Daphnia pulex: one gene and its partners. The protein of the gene in region 3 binds, or shares a complex with, the protein of the main gene of each other region. Links are inferred from orthologs where the notes say so. Each region holds a gene or a part of one and is shown on either strand. Other genes may lie near its edges.

Region 1 (4,068 bases), on a different chromosome or scaffold from region 3:
CGCGACACAGCGCTGACACTGTCAGCAAGGAGAAAATGTTCTCGCCCATCGTCGTGCCCAAGTTCATCAACTGCACCAACACCAACGGCCAGCAGTCGTCGCACTGGGTGCCGCCAGGTCAGCCAGACATGACCGCCGATACCTGTTCATTCGTTCCTTATCGTCGAGCGGCCGTTGTGCCGTCTGGCGGCAGCAGCAACGTCAGCGATGCCCGTTTCGCCGAAGGAGAAGTCTACGAAAACGTCACCAACTTGGATTTCGACGAGAAGAAACCGCGCACCCTCTCGCCCGACGAAGAAGTGGCCATTCTGACCAGCCAGTTTCACGGAACTATCCCCACGGAAATGGAAGTGGAGTCGACTCAGATGGATTCGGAATCGGAAGACAACGATTCCGTTATGAGGGCCGTCAATGTGTAAAATAAAAATCACCATAAGTTACCTAATCTATAATATTATTTCACTATTTACCGTGCTGTGTGTTGTATGGAGCAGTGCCATTGTATATTAATATACTGTAACTGTACTTGCGCGTGTGTGTTTGGCTTTTATTTCTGTTTTCTCTTGTCTCGGCAGATTCACAAATGATACACCTTGAAAAACACAATGGACTTGGGAGAACTTTATTACGCATCATGCCGTGGCATTGGAATGTTTTCTCAGAGGCACGTGTCTGCCAACTGTTTCACTTCGGTGGGAAGATTGGGATACTTGGAGAGAGCAGCTGTTAACTGCTCTGACGTGATGAGAATATGGTAAACAACAAATTCTTTCTGAACCTTCGAGCAAGAAACCCCCTCAACGGGCCGGATCAGCTCCAAAGTCTACAAAAGGAAAATTAAGTAGCATGTTGTTCATTTTCCGCCATCAAATTATTACGTTAAAAAGCTGGGCAAACTTTTTTTGTTATTTACCTCGAGGTGTTCCATTGCCTTCATCGCGATTTGCCGGTCGAATTTCTGCATCGAACTGCTTTTCATTTGCTTGGTATACTCGTAAAAGGCCATTTCGTAATTGCAAGGTTCACCAAAGTAAATTTTATCCAAGTATTTCATGCAGAGTAACTATAAATGAACGAGTTCAAGGAGGAATCAATATAATGTATACAAGTTGGCCAAAATAAAAACGTTTTCATTTTATGATGCTTAGCTAGGCAATATGCGAAATTTCTCTTTTACTATACTCACCAACTGCAGTTCGAGGACAGATAAGCCCTGGAGTTGTAATGTTTTGCAATCCGTAGTTTGAGACTCGATGGCGCTGACAATGTCCTTGGATGAGAGGAAAGGATGATTCTTGCCCAGGCGACATACTGCCACCAGCTTTAAGTGCGTAAAATTCAAGAATAATACGGGTACGTTATTGGCGTTCCTTATTCTGATAACAGTCAAGTGCAGGCTGCTATCTACACGATAATAATAAGTACCAATATGTTTTGCAGAAGACGGAGTTTCGGATTGAGGTTGAATAGTTTCTTGAGTGTGCCTTCGACTAATGGATCTTGTGCAAGATCCTTAATAGACTTGTCCCAGCTGCGAACGTATATGGGTTTTAATCCGGGAGGAGCACGCACCAACTGAAGTAAATTGACAAACGTTTCCGTGTATCTCGTGAAATCAGGTTTCACAAACAAATAAATTTGTCGATGAGAGAACCTAGACCTCACTCTCTTTTCAAACAAAGAAATGGCATCCATTCTACATGTCAATCCAATGACAGCCATTGGCGCCTAAATGCGATAAGATGAGATTATGTTATTGTAAATGTTGAAAAGTGAGGAAAGAGAGAATATGCGAATGAAGCTTTATACTTGAGCAGATTGGCAAACATCAAATAGATTGTATAATAAAGTTTGATTTTTATGCTGACAAAACTGATCAAATTCGTCCATTATAAAAATGATGGATTTTGCTTTTTTCCTGTCAGCCATCTTCAAGGAATTCAGAAGAAAATTTAGATTCTCTAGAAGAAAAAGGGAAATATTCAAATAACCTTTATAAAAGAAGCAAAAATCTAAACTGTTACAATTTACCTGAAAATGAGCCAAATGCTCTGCCAGCTGCTTCCTCCTCTAAAAATAGCTAAAAAGAGATGTCACAATAAATTTAAAAAATTGTCAGGAGGGTCATTACAAACAAAACTGAAAGAAAGTTACTTGGCGAGTGATTTCTTGAATGGCTATCCGATCATCAGTTTGGAAGAAGCCATGCAACTTAATGACAACATAATCTTTCTCAAAGTCACAGACAGCTTCCAGTTCAGCCAGCACACTGTTGATCAACTACAAATTTAACAAATTATTAAGCTGCATCAATCATTTAAAAGGAGTATAGGTGCTTACCAAGGTTTTCCCACTTCCTCTCGGTCCAATTAGGAGAGCTGAATTGTTTTCTCCATTTTGCACCGTGCTTTTAAGTAAATTAAAAACGTAATTCTTGTGTTCTAAAAATTCATCAGGAACTGAAATACTAGAATGATTGTTAAAAACCATTCGTTCTAATAGAATATTACGACAAATATCAGTGCAAGATGCCATTATCGTATCACGTACTGGATTTTGAATCGTGCAGACGATGTTTGACTGAAAAAGGGCGCGCAAACTGACACATAAACATTGTGCTGTCAAAATATGTTTGTTTGTTGTTACAAGGTGGCAGCACAATGTAATCTCTCTAGATTTTCAAATTACTTAACAAATCACAAGAAAACCAAACTCACACAAAAAAACAAACAAGTCAGTTATTCATAGCATTTTCGTGTGACGTGAACTGTATGTATATACGCATATGAAATACTTTGTTAACGCAGTTGGTTTTAAATCTTTTAAACCGTCTTGCCCATCGGTTCCACAGATTATATTCGAAGGCTTGTGTATTGTACGTAAAATCGTATCTGATCGATATCTCATAGTTTAGCTTATTTCTGAAATTGGTGAATCATATGTATAAGTGATTAAGACACCGAATGTATACTTAGGTATCTAATTTGGCCCATATGATAAATGAGTGAACCGCAGCAGGGGGATTAAGGTACAAAATAATTAAGGTCTCCGCTCTCCACGCCCGCGGTGAGTGGTAAATTGACAAAATATTTGGCACAACTTGCACTAAGAAAAAAAAAGTTGAGCCAGCCTGTGGAGTGTTACTTGTTTGACTTAGCTTGTTATCCTGAAGATAAAATTATTTTGAGTTGTTACACAGATTTCCTGGTAGGCAAAAGAACTAGAAAACAAACACTTTGATGATCGAAAACTTCATATTTGGTATGGAATGTGAAAAGGACAATCGAGGTACCGTTCGAACAGTAGGTGATTTCCGATTTGGGTGGAGCCGTTGTCTTTTCTCTGCATAACTAGTTTCAAGGTCCGTGTTATGACCAAATCAAGTTGCATCATTTTTCCATTTAATTTGGATAACCATAAAGTCACAGATGCTCCTGTCACTAAATCCTGGATTGTGTATTCAGCAGTGACTGTATGCCGGTGAAACGTGATCGTATATGGTTCGATCAGTTGATAAATTGGTGACGTAAATGCCGACGGGAAAAACAAAGTAAATTATTTCTTTTTTTTCTGTAGAATGGCTGAGCTGCCACATTCCTTATGGGTGCGTTTCTGTCAGTCTGCTGAAAAATCGCAAATTAATTATTTGCGCGCAAAGTAGAACAAGATTAAAGTCACATTTATTTCTGCCACTTGAAAGATCCCATTTTTGGTTATTGGTGAACCTGAGTCCTGAGATAGAATTTCTTCGTATAAATAGGTTGATACAAAAATATGCTGTTGGTGCAACCGCATTTTTTTTCTTCTTGACATATGTAAGAAAAGAATTCCCAGGTTTTGTAAATGAGATCGCGGATGCAAAAAAATGTTACAACGCAACAAATATTTGCTACCTTGGGGCGATTCAAATTATTGCTCCGCCCTGATCAGGGCGTTGGCCAGTCGTTAAAGTATACTAAAATGAATAACATCAAAGATTTAGCAATTTTTGTGCTAATCGACACAAAATCTCGCACCTTAAAACAAAGTGAAGATAATAGTATTTCATCGTTAAAAAATCAATAAATC
Region 2 (3,720 bases), on a different chromosome or scaffold from region 3:
GATTGTGAAAATAAAAATGGAATATAACGGTAATAATATCCACACTCACGCTGGCAAACTGTTCACGAAGTTCTTGTCGTTCTTCTTCGGAAAATTTACGTATATTCGAAGAAGCAGCTCCATTCCACTGGTGTAGCGCCATCTTACTTGGCTTGACGTCTGGCAAGGCACTGTTGCCGTCGTGTGCTCGCCGGTTTATTTAAAAGCCCCAAGCGGGGTCTTTTTTCAAAAAAACGTTTGCGGCTTGGCCCTTCCCACTTTTCATTTCCTTCCCCCCTCTGTGACCCCGCCCTCGACGTAGCTCTTATACATGTGCCTTATCAGCTGCTATATATTTTTTGTTGGGGCGATTAGAAATCAAACAACGCCTTTTACACACACACGACGGTAAATAGTATCCGCTTAGGGGGGGAATCAACTTGATATCGCTTCACCGAATTACAGAGACTCTTATGACCATATGTGGTCTAATATGATAAAGGGTTTTTTTTTGTGAACAGACGTCGGTCAGAAATCGTCTTAGTCATGAACACATTTATATATAATTGAAAAACGTCGCCTTTCTTATCTTTTTCTGGGTTGTAATTTGATTACTTCATCATTCCGACACTCGGTTAAGAGTTTCAAAAAAAAAGAAAAGTTTAAGAAATGAGGTGTGTACTTGTTTGTTATCTCTTACTCGAGGATGTAGGGGGCGGGGACACGGGTTTATAAAGAAAACTTGAAGAAAAAAAAAGAAAAATTTTAATAAATATAATACAAGGCTAATTCTCTTCTTTTGTTATCAAGTGAGGGAAATAATATACTGCCTACAATTTAAAGCAAGATCAAACAGTTGTGTCGTAGAGGTAACGTCCCAGCTCGAAATTCACCGTCCTGTAATCAAAAGAAATTTGTGAGCATTTATTATTGTAATCGTGTCAAGTAGTTTAATCTTTTGGTATCGTAAAACATGGACTAGATTAACGGTTGAACTCGGAGGTAATCTATTTAAATTTAAATGTTTACCTGGCTAAACTTCTGACTAGATCGTAACCGGCATTGCACCGGTATTTCGGAACTCCTTGAAACATGGCCGCTGATCCCGTGTGTGTGATGAGCTTTAGGGAAACCAAAGTAGAAATCTGTGTGTCGAACAACGAAGAGGCGTCACAATCTCGAACGTAAATAATTGGCCAAAAAATAACGCGATTAACAACAACAAGGAAAAAAAAAAGAGCTCAGACCTGCACAAATATATTTAGGGACGGCGTAACTCGTTCCTCAACGATCGAATAGAAAATGGCCATCAATCGATCGATGGGGAAGACTTTGGGTCCCATCAAACGGGCGGCGTTGTGCAACTTTTGCTTCTTCAATGACTTGAGACCTTTGTCTTTCTTCTTCCTGCCTTCTTTGGCTTTGACGAATAAACGACGATCGTAACGGGGCGGATTGTAACTCGCCAGATAGGCAGCGATGATAAGGAACTTGGAGAAGAATGGAAGCTCCATTTTCAGGCCTATTTGGGTCCCGCATGCATCAGGACCTCGGACGTAAACTTGGTTCAGACTGGAGCGAAGTTTCGGTTCAAGATGTCGCCATAATTTCACTGATTGAGTTTTGTCGATTTCGCCCGAATGGATGGGCTCCATAAAGGCTTCCCAATGCTGCGCGGCTATGTAGCGAAGTTCGCAGAAATCGCGACAAGCCACCAGGAAGACACCCAATATCATGGAAAGATATGTCTGGTAAAGAGATGAATGTTCAGGTTGTCGGCATTCCTTCATCAGTAGATCCAGAATTTCTTCTACAAAATTTGAGAAATGGTTGATTAAGATGTTGTGTTTACAATTGAATCAATAAATACCTTTGCTATACTGGGGGAAAAATATCTGTATGGGATCGAGACTTCCAGTGCCACACCGAAACTTCTCAAAGGGGATTTCTGAAATGAAGATGATGCAAATGTTGAGACCTGTAAACTCTGGGATTTTGGTCAGTGTTGGGATGATCATTCCATCACTCAAGTCTCGCATCCTTTCGGCCTTATCAAGTACAATACAAATCGGTCTGGTATCACCAAGCTGCTTGAGGTATCTGGCAAATTCATTGGCATTGTCACATCGTTCTTGACTTCCCAGCTGTTCAAGGACAGATTCATAGAGAAAGCGTGGACTGAGGCATTCAATGCAGTGAATTGCTGCATACTGAACATGTTCCACAGATTCAATCACTCGTTGGACTACTAACGATTTTCCGGTTGACGTGTGGCCATATACATACAGGAAAGGTGGAAGGGCATTCTGCAAATAAATTCAATCACGTTCTCATAAATATTTGACGTAAACATCCCAAGAATCATAACAAGTCTCACGCTTTGAAGGATATCCGCCAAGATTTCAATTTGTTGTTCTCGATGAGGTATTTCAGCTTTTAGATTCTCTTTTATGGAATTTATTTCCATTGTTTTTCTCGTAGCTCTTTCACTCGCCAAAAGAAACTTAAAAATCAAGATAACAGAAGTGGCGAATTCGTAGCGGGAGAAATGAAACGTAGACATTGCCAGATTCATATTCAGAAAAATGAAACCAATTTCTAATTTTTAATGAAATTACTGAAACTTTTCTAGCAAAATTTTGTCTTGCTAAAATTTTTTTAATAAATTTGATAATAATAAACTTAATGTTACGTAAGTAAGCTTTCATCTCAATTTTTGTCCCGTTATTATTACGTGGAACTTGTTGGCTGACAGGAATGTGTGTCGTAGTCTGCTATTCCTGTCACTTTTACAGTTTGTTCAGTTGGGTCAGTTTGCTCAATGGCATGTGCCGCTATGCTACTTGTTGGATAAACTGCAAAAAATTGTAACTTTGACTGTGGATCGATCGTATTAGGAATAATTGTTTTATAAAATAATGAAAATGAAATCATATCTATTTATTGTTACCTTCTGCGTTTTTTTGAACGTCTCATATGTCCATTCCTTGATTGAAGGACTCTACTGTGGAGTCGAGAACTGTTACGATGGTGAGCTATTTCGTTAACCTAATTTTAAAACGTTCAGTAATAACGCTTTCTCTTTTTTTTTAATTTTAGTGCTTGGTGTGACGAGAGAGAGCTCTAGGAGTGCTATAGGAAAGGCTTATCGAGTTCTTGCAAAGAAGTACCATCCTGATGTGCAAGGGCCTGAGGTGACTAAAGAAGAAGCTGAGAAGAATTTTCGTAGAATAGCCACTGCCTATGAAATTCTGAGTGATAATGCCTCCAGAGAAGATTATGACTACATGGTTGACAATCCAGAAGAAATGTACATGCATTACTACAGATATTACAGACGGCGTACAGCTCCAAATGTCGACATCAGATTGATTCTTGCTGTGTGTGTCACCATCATTTCTGGGATCCAGTACTACACTGCCTGGGAACGCTATGATACTGCCATAAAGTATTTGACCACTGTGCAAAAATACAGGATACATGCACTTGAAATTGCCAAGAAAGAAGGCTTGTTCAATGAAAATACCAGCAAGAAAGTCAAAGACAAGTCCAAAGAGAAGGAGGAAAAGGAGCAAATTATTCGAAAAGTCATCGAAGAGAAAATGGATATTCGCGGAGGCTATTCTAAACCAGACTGGAAGCAAATACTGTGGTTCCAGCTCATCATTCTGCCCTACACCATCTACCAGTACGTCCGTTGGTACATTATCTGGGTCTACAAGTTTGACATCCGAAAAGAAG
Region 3 (4,416 bases):
TCAATTGAAGTCTGTATTACCGAGTGCCAGCAAGAGGCAAAAGAATTCTTTCTTCACCATGAATTTGAATTGGAGCAACTCTACCACAAAAGTATTATGGGTAGCACAGCCGTATACACTAAGTACCTTTTCAGGAAAGATTTGAAGCATACCAAGTCAGCACTTAATGCTTAGACTCCCCAGGTCAAGCGTGCAACGTGATCCGTCTTTCGTTTTGACGACTGGATGAATCCGAGTAGCTGCAGCTGCGCAACCGCTCGAATAAAACGTGCTTGAATGATTGGCTCAATTTCTTCATTGTCGTCTTCATCGTCCTGTTTAAAATTTGAATACAATTCGTCTTTGTAATATTTTGGGAAACAAAAAATTATTTCTAACCTTTTTCTGAATAGCGTTGAAGGATAACATCCAGTCGTAAAGATTGATCAAGCGACCGCACTCGGTATGCAATTTGTAAACGATACAAAGATCCGGCATGGAAGAGAGAACTTGCGTTTCTTGTCCGGTTAAAGAACAGCAACTGCAACCAAGGTAAGAAGCCGGATTCGAGAGAGCCTTACTTATGGCTACCCTAGGAACCGGTTGGACCTGACGCCGCATCCATGGAACGATATCCCAATTGCCTAAAATGAAATGCGATCAAGATTTCCGTACAAACAGACAAAACAAATTAAGTAAACGTACTTTGAACTTGACTTCCAGCATAGAAAATTTCATGAAAAACTAAGGTTGAAGGAGATTTCAGACGACTTGCCAACTCCGAATTCAGCCAGGTTATGATCTCGGATTTTACTTCGTCGAATTCTGAGGTAGTCCGAACTTGCTTCGCCGTGGCCATCAATTGCTTTAGAAATACAGTTAGATTTTGTGTGCTTTAAATGAGGAGGACTAAATGCACTTACTGCTTTCAATTCAAACTTGTCCAGTTTTTTGCCTTGAGGTACGAATACATTTTGACTTTTAGGGCTGGAAACGGCGTCGGATTTTTTAGATTCTTCCAAACGTAAAAGTTCTTCTGAAAAGAGGACGAGACTAGTGGAGAAATCCGACAAAGAGCCAGACGAGTCGCACTCTTTCAAAGTAGTCAATGCAGCTTCGATTCTGGTTCGAAGTTCGTGCGCCGACGAAACGTTCAACAATCGGAGAAATTGCTCCCAGTCTTCAGATTCACCACCGATCAACAAATTCACGTATACTTCACGCAAACTTTTGCCAAACAGCGCATCAGGCATGCCGTCACTCAGAGAATGGATAATTCGACAGCTTAGCGAAAAGTTCTTGGAGTAAGTGTTCAGCGCCTAAAATAGAAATTCAGTATCAACACTCACGAAATATCAGTGCATTAACAATTTACCTCTAACGATTTTTGCAGAAACAACCGGAATTCTTTGTCGTCAGTCAGGAGTGAAATTTTGGATCGATTTTTTTCGATAAATTTCATAAACGACGGAAGCTGACGATAAAGATCTAAATCTGTTACGTTTAGTTGCTTAATTCTATTCTAAAATATCCGAAATAATTAAATATAGAATAAGATATTAGTGTGAAAAAAAAATTATTGTACTTTTAGTTCACTGACGGAACAGCACAGGGACGAGACTGGAAGAGTGATGTAGTGCTGCATGATTATAAGGTGAACGCGCATCATGAAACTGTTTAGCGACAAGTCGTGATAAAGAAATCCATCCAGTAGAAGTTGCATCAACCTGGGCCCGAGTTTTAAAACGCTGCTCTTCATAAAAAGCTGTTCTATGAGATGGTTCAGCAGGACAACAGAAGGTCGTGACTGGAATGATTTGGTCGCTAGGCAAACGGAGGTTCGGTGGTGAAGTTGCTGCTGAAGGGCTACTGTCGTTGCAATACCCATGATAAATTGAATGGGTAGCTTATTCCGGACTCGGTTTTCTCTAATAAGAAAAAAACAAAACATAGTTGATATGAAAGGAAAATGTAGTTTGAGAATGGTTACCTGCAGAGTAGTACAAAATCCTGCAATTGCTGAGTACCAAAAGATTCGAGATCTTGGAGGATTATGATCAGTGGTGTTTTCATTACGACATTTGAATACCACGTCGCAAGATTCGCGAATGTCTTAACTTTAGACCTTGGTTTAATGGGTACAATTACATCATCTTCATCATCTTCTTCATCTTTTTCAACCTCATCATCTATTGAGTCACAGCTCGTTAGTTTCTGAATTGTTTTCAGCACCATGTTTTTCAGAGAAGGGCATTCTTTTGAGTTTAACATAGCCACAAACGGAGATACATTGGTCTTCAAAGTAGTATCCAGTAGACTGAAAAAGGCAGCATGATCTGCGAATTGCAATAGCAATGAAAATTATCTTTAATTCCAATAACCAACACACCAACTAGTTTTACCTGGAAGATTAACTCCCAAAGAAATTAAAGCAGTAGGTATGCTGCTCTGTCCAGTACCAGCATTTTCACTAACAAAAGTTTTGACATCATGCAGAAGTTGTTTGTGGCTATCTGAAATGATTTCCTGCAAAGAAGAGATCATCAGCATCACTTCGTTATGTTCAATAGTCAATACCAAACACCCAGCTTATCAGACCTCGCTTTTCTTTTTAGTGGCAGACCATATTTTCTTGTAGGAATCTAGCCTTATTTCCATAGACGACTTATCACTTTTGGCAAATAAAGATGAAGCATTGAGATCATCATTTGTATCTACAATAGCAGACTTTTTAGTCTTCTTTCTTGGACTTCGACCCGATTTTTGTGGATTTGCTTTGAATACAAAACAACCCTAGTGAAAAAGAAATAGAGCTTAACATAAATAACGATTTAATTAATGCTGTGATTAACACAATACCTTTGAGAAAGATGATGTTGTGGCCATTTTCAGATAAAGTTGCACGATGTTGTTGCCGCCATAGTTCGATTTGGCGCTGAAATCCTGCTTAACGCCATCTGGCAGTAATTAAAAAAAACATTTTTAAAAGCGCGCGAAGCGACATCTTGTTTATGAATGAATGAAATAAACAAGTCAAAATTGCAAATGAAATGTCATCCATTCCAATCAATTTGATGGTGTATATTAAATAACATAGACCCACACATTTGATTTTATAACACGCACTGTTGTTTTTTTAGATTTTGCACTCTGAATTTTGAGATTTCAAAAATAGTACATTTTAACGACACATCAGAAAGTTGTCGTTGATGAGAAGTGGAACTACAATTAATTCTTTTTAAAGAATTTTGTAATTTTAGGTGGGGATTCATTAGAAACGCTTTTCTTTCTTTTGACTGGCTCGCCTTCGGGTGCTAGAAAATACATAATTATAATGACTTTTCGTTTTGTTTTTAAACAGTCATGCTCATACCTTCTTCTTTGCCTTGATATGCCTTCTTCATCTTAGCTAAATTCTCCTTCATTACAATATCATGGTCAACTATTCGCTTCGGATAGTCTTTTCCTATTTCGATCATTTTTGAAACACTTAATTTTTTATAACAAGTATTTTATGACTTATCCATAATTACCAATAATACATCCCGCTGTTTTTTGGACACTCAGAGGAGCTTTCCACGGCTCGTAAATGTACTCTGTTGGGAATTTCTTCAAAATCGGCAAATACTTCCTGTAAATTTCAATAGAATGAGTAATTGAGTGTATAATGAATTTTGATTCGGAAAACTGTTTACTTGATGTAATCGCCGTGTTTATCAGTCTTCTTGCCAAAAGCTACGGGGCTATAAACTCGAAAATAGCTGTGAAAAAAAGCTGAAGCAGAGAGCCACATCCAGTTCCCAGCGTTCAATGCCCAGTCAGCATCAAGCAATAGTTCTTCAAAAACCTTAAAAGTGTACACAATTTACTTAAAAAAGGTAATAAGATAAATAACAATAAAGCGTTGCATTTAATGAATAACATAGTACCTGTTGGCCAAGTTCCCAAGAGACCCATAGATCTCCGCGCGTTAGGAAACACGCAACTGCGTGACGGGCCAAGTGATGAATCCAACCTTCAGTTCGTAATTGTATCATGATGGCATCGATAAAAGGATATCCAGTTCTGCCCTGTAAAAAGTATCCAAATGTTACCCGGTTAAATTTTCTGAAATTAGAAAGAAACTTACATTTTTCCAAGCGACAAAGTGCTCGTCTTCTGGGTCAACTTTCCAGGGAATTTGTTTGCACACGGGATTCCCAATCATTCGATCAAAGTTGGGAGTGTATGCCCCGCAAGTGTAGTAAAACTCTCGCCAAAGCATCTGACCCGTCAGCGATGTCGGCGGACTCGTGTGTTTACGACCGTCAATGATCTTTGAATAGACGAATTTATTAGGACCAAACACGGGCATTAAGCAATAAAAAGAAAAGTAGATTTATGCTGTTTACCTCGTGAAGACGATGATACATTAAGCGGGGTGACAAGCAGCCAAAT

What was found.
Region 1: the proteins of origin recognition complex subunit 3-like (region 3) and origin recognition complex subunit 4-like are in contact, whole or in part, in a crystal structure (PDB 4XGC), measured with the Drosophila melanogaster proteins. The link is inferred for Daphnia pulex from reciprocal best matches to the Drosophila melanogaster genes Orc3 and Orc4. Residues at the interface, in NP_476904.1 of Drosophila melanogaster: Ala217, His250, Gly251, Leu253, Pro254, Tyr255, His256; in NP_477320.1 of Drosophila melanogaster: Lys395, Glu398, His399, Ile402, Lys419, Lys422.
Region 2: the proteins of origin recognition complex subunit 3-like (region 3) and origin recognition complex subunit 5-like are in contact, whole or in part, in a crystal structure (PDB 4XGC), measured with the Drosophila melanogaster proteins. The link is inferred for Daphnia pulex from reciprocal best matches to the Drosophila melanogaster genes Orc3 and Orc5. Residues at the interface, in NP_476904.1 of Drosophila melanogaster: Ile105, Gln107, Leu140, Lys141, Val144, Cys183, Thr184, Met185, Lys186, Gln187, Glu213, Cys214, Asp222, Leu225, Ile226, His230, Ala243, Thr244, His250, Tyr255, Ser258, Ser259, Arg262, Leu263, Ala270, Pro272, His302, Ile303, Leu305, Tyr306; in NP_477132.1 of Drosophila melanogaster: Ile72, Glu73, Tyr75, Ile79, Glu82, Asp86, Asp94, Arg130, Tyr291, Met292, Arg293, Ile294, Glu295, Leu319, Glu320, Leu321, Pro322, Tyr323, Tyr324, Ala325, Asp383, Leu386, Ala387, Tyr390, Val397, Leu399, Thr400, Cys401, Asn402, Leu403.

The regions. Positions count from the first base shown.
Region 1 is NC_060020.1:1,002,310-1,006,377, reverse strand, and holds origin recognition complex subunit 4-like, read right to left. Parts: upstream 2,593-4,068; 5' UTR 2,536-2,592; coding exon 2,341-2,535; intron 2,281-2,340; coding exon 2,155-2,280; intron 2,081-2,154; coding exon 2,032-2,080; intron 1,962-2,031; coding exon 1,810-1,961; intron 1,729-1,809; coding exon 1,426-1,728; intron 1,322-1,425; coding exon 1,187-1,321; intron 1,064-1,186; coding exon 914-1,063; intron 824-913; coding exon 659-823; 3' UTR 534-658; downstream 1-533. Other genes in the region: uncharacterized protein LOC124192631, read left to right, coding at 1-419.
Region 2 is NC_060025.1:8,384,366-8,388,085, reverse strand, and holds origin recognition complex subunit 5-like, read right to left. Parts: upstream 2,492-3,720; 5' UTR 2,447-2,491; coding exon 2,357-2,446; intron 2,286-2,356; coding exon 1,850-2,285; intron 1,790-1,849; coding exon 1,227-1,789; intron 1,125-1,226; coding exon 1,009-1,124; intron 877-1,008; coding exon 828-876; 3' UTR 814-827; exon of another isoform or gene 721-813; 3' UTR 641-720; downstream 1-640. Other genes in the region: plastin-1-like, read right to left, coding at 50-142; dnaJ homolog subfamily C member 25 homolog, read left to right, coding at 2,898-3,009, 3,079-3,720. UniProt on the Drosophila melanogaster protein: Component of the origin recognition complex (ORC) that binds origins of replication. DNA-binding is ATP-dependent, however specific DNA sequences that define origins of replication have not been identified so far.
Region 3 is NC_060027.1:422,624-427,039, forward strand, and holds the start of origin recognition complex subunit 3-like, read right to left. Parts: upstream 2,923-4,416; 5' UTR 2,866-2,922; coding exon 2,839-2,865; intron 2,773-2,838; coding exon 2,578-2,772; intron 2,506-2,577; coding exon 2,382-2,505; intron 2,316-2,381; coding exon 1,970-2,315; intron 1,908-1,969; coding exon 1,565-1,907; intron 1,502-1,564; coding exon 1,355-1,501; intron 1,299-1,354; coding exon 903-1,298; intron 845-902; coding exon 685-844; intron 624-684; coding exon 379-623; intron 348-378; exon of another isoform or gene 315-347; coding exon 171-314; coding exon of another isoform or gene 1-170. Other genes in the region: uncharacterized protein LOC124207230, read left to right, coding at 1-174; cryptochrome-1-like, read right to left, coding at 3,208-3,293, 3,353-3,445, 3,513-3,610, 3,675-3,826, 3,909-4,049, 4,109-4,294, 4,371-4,416.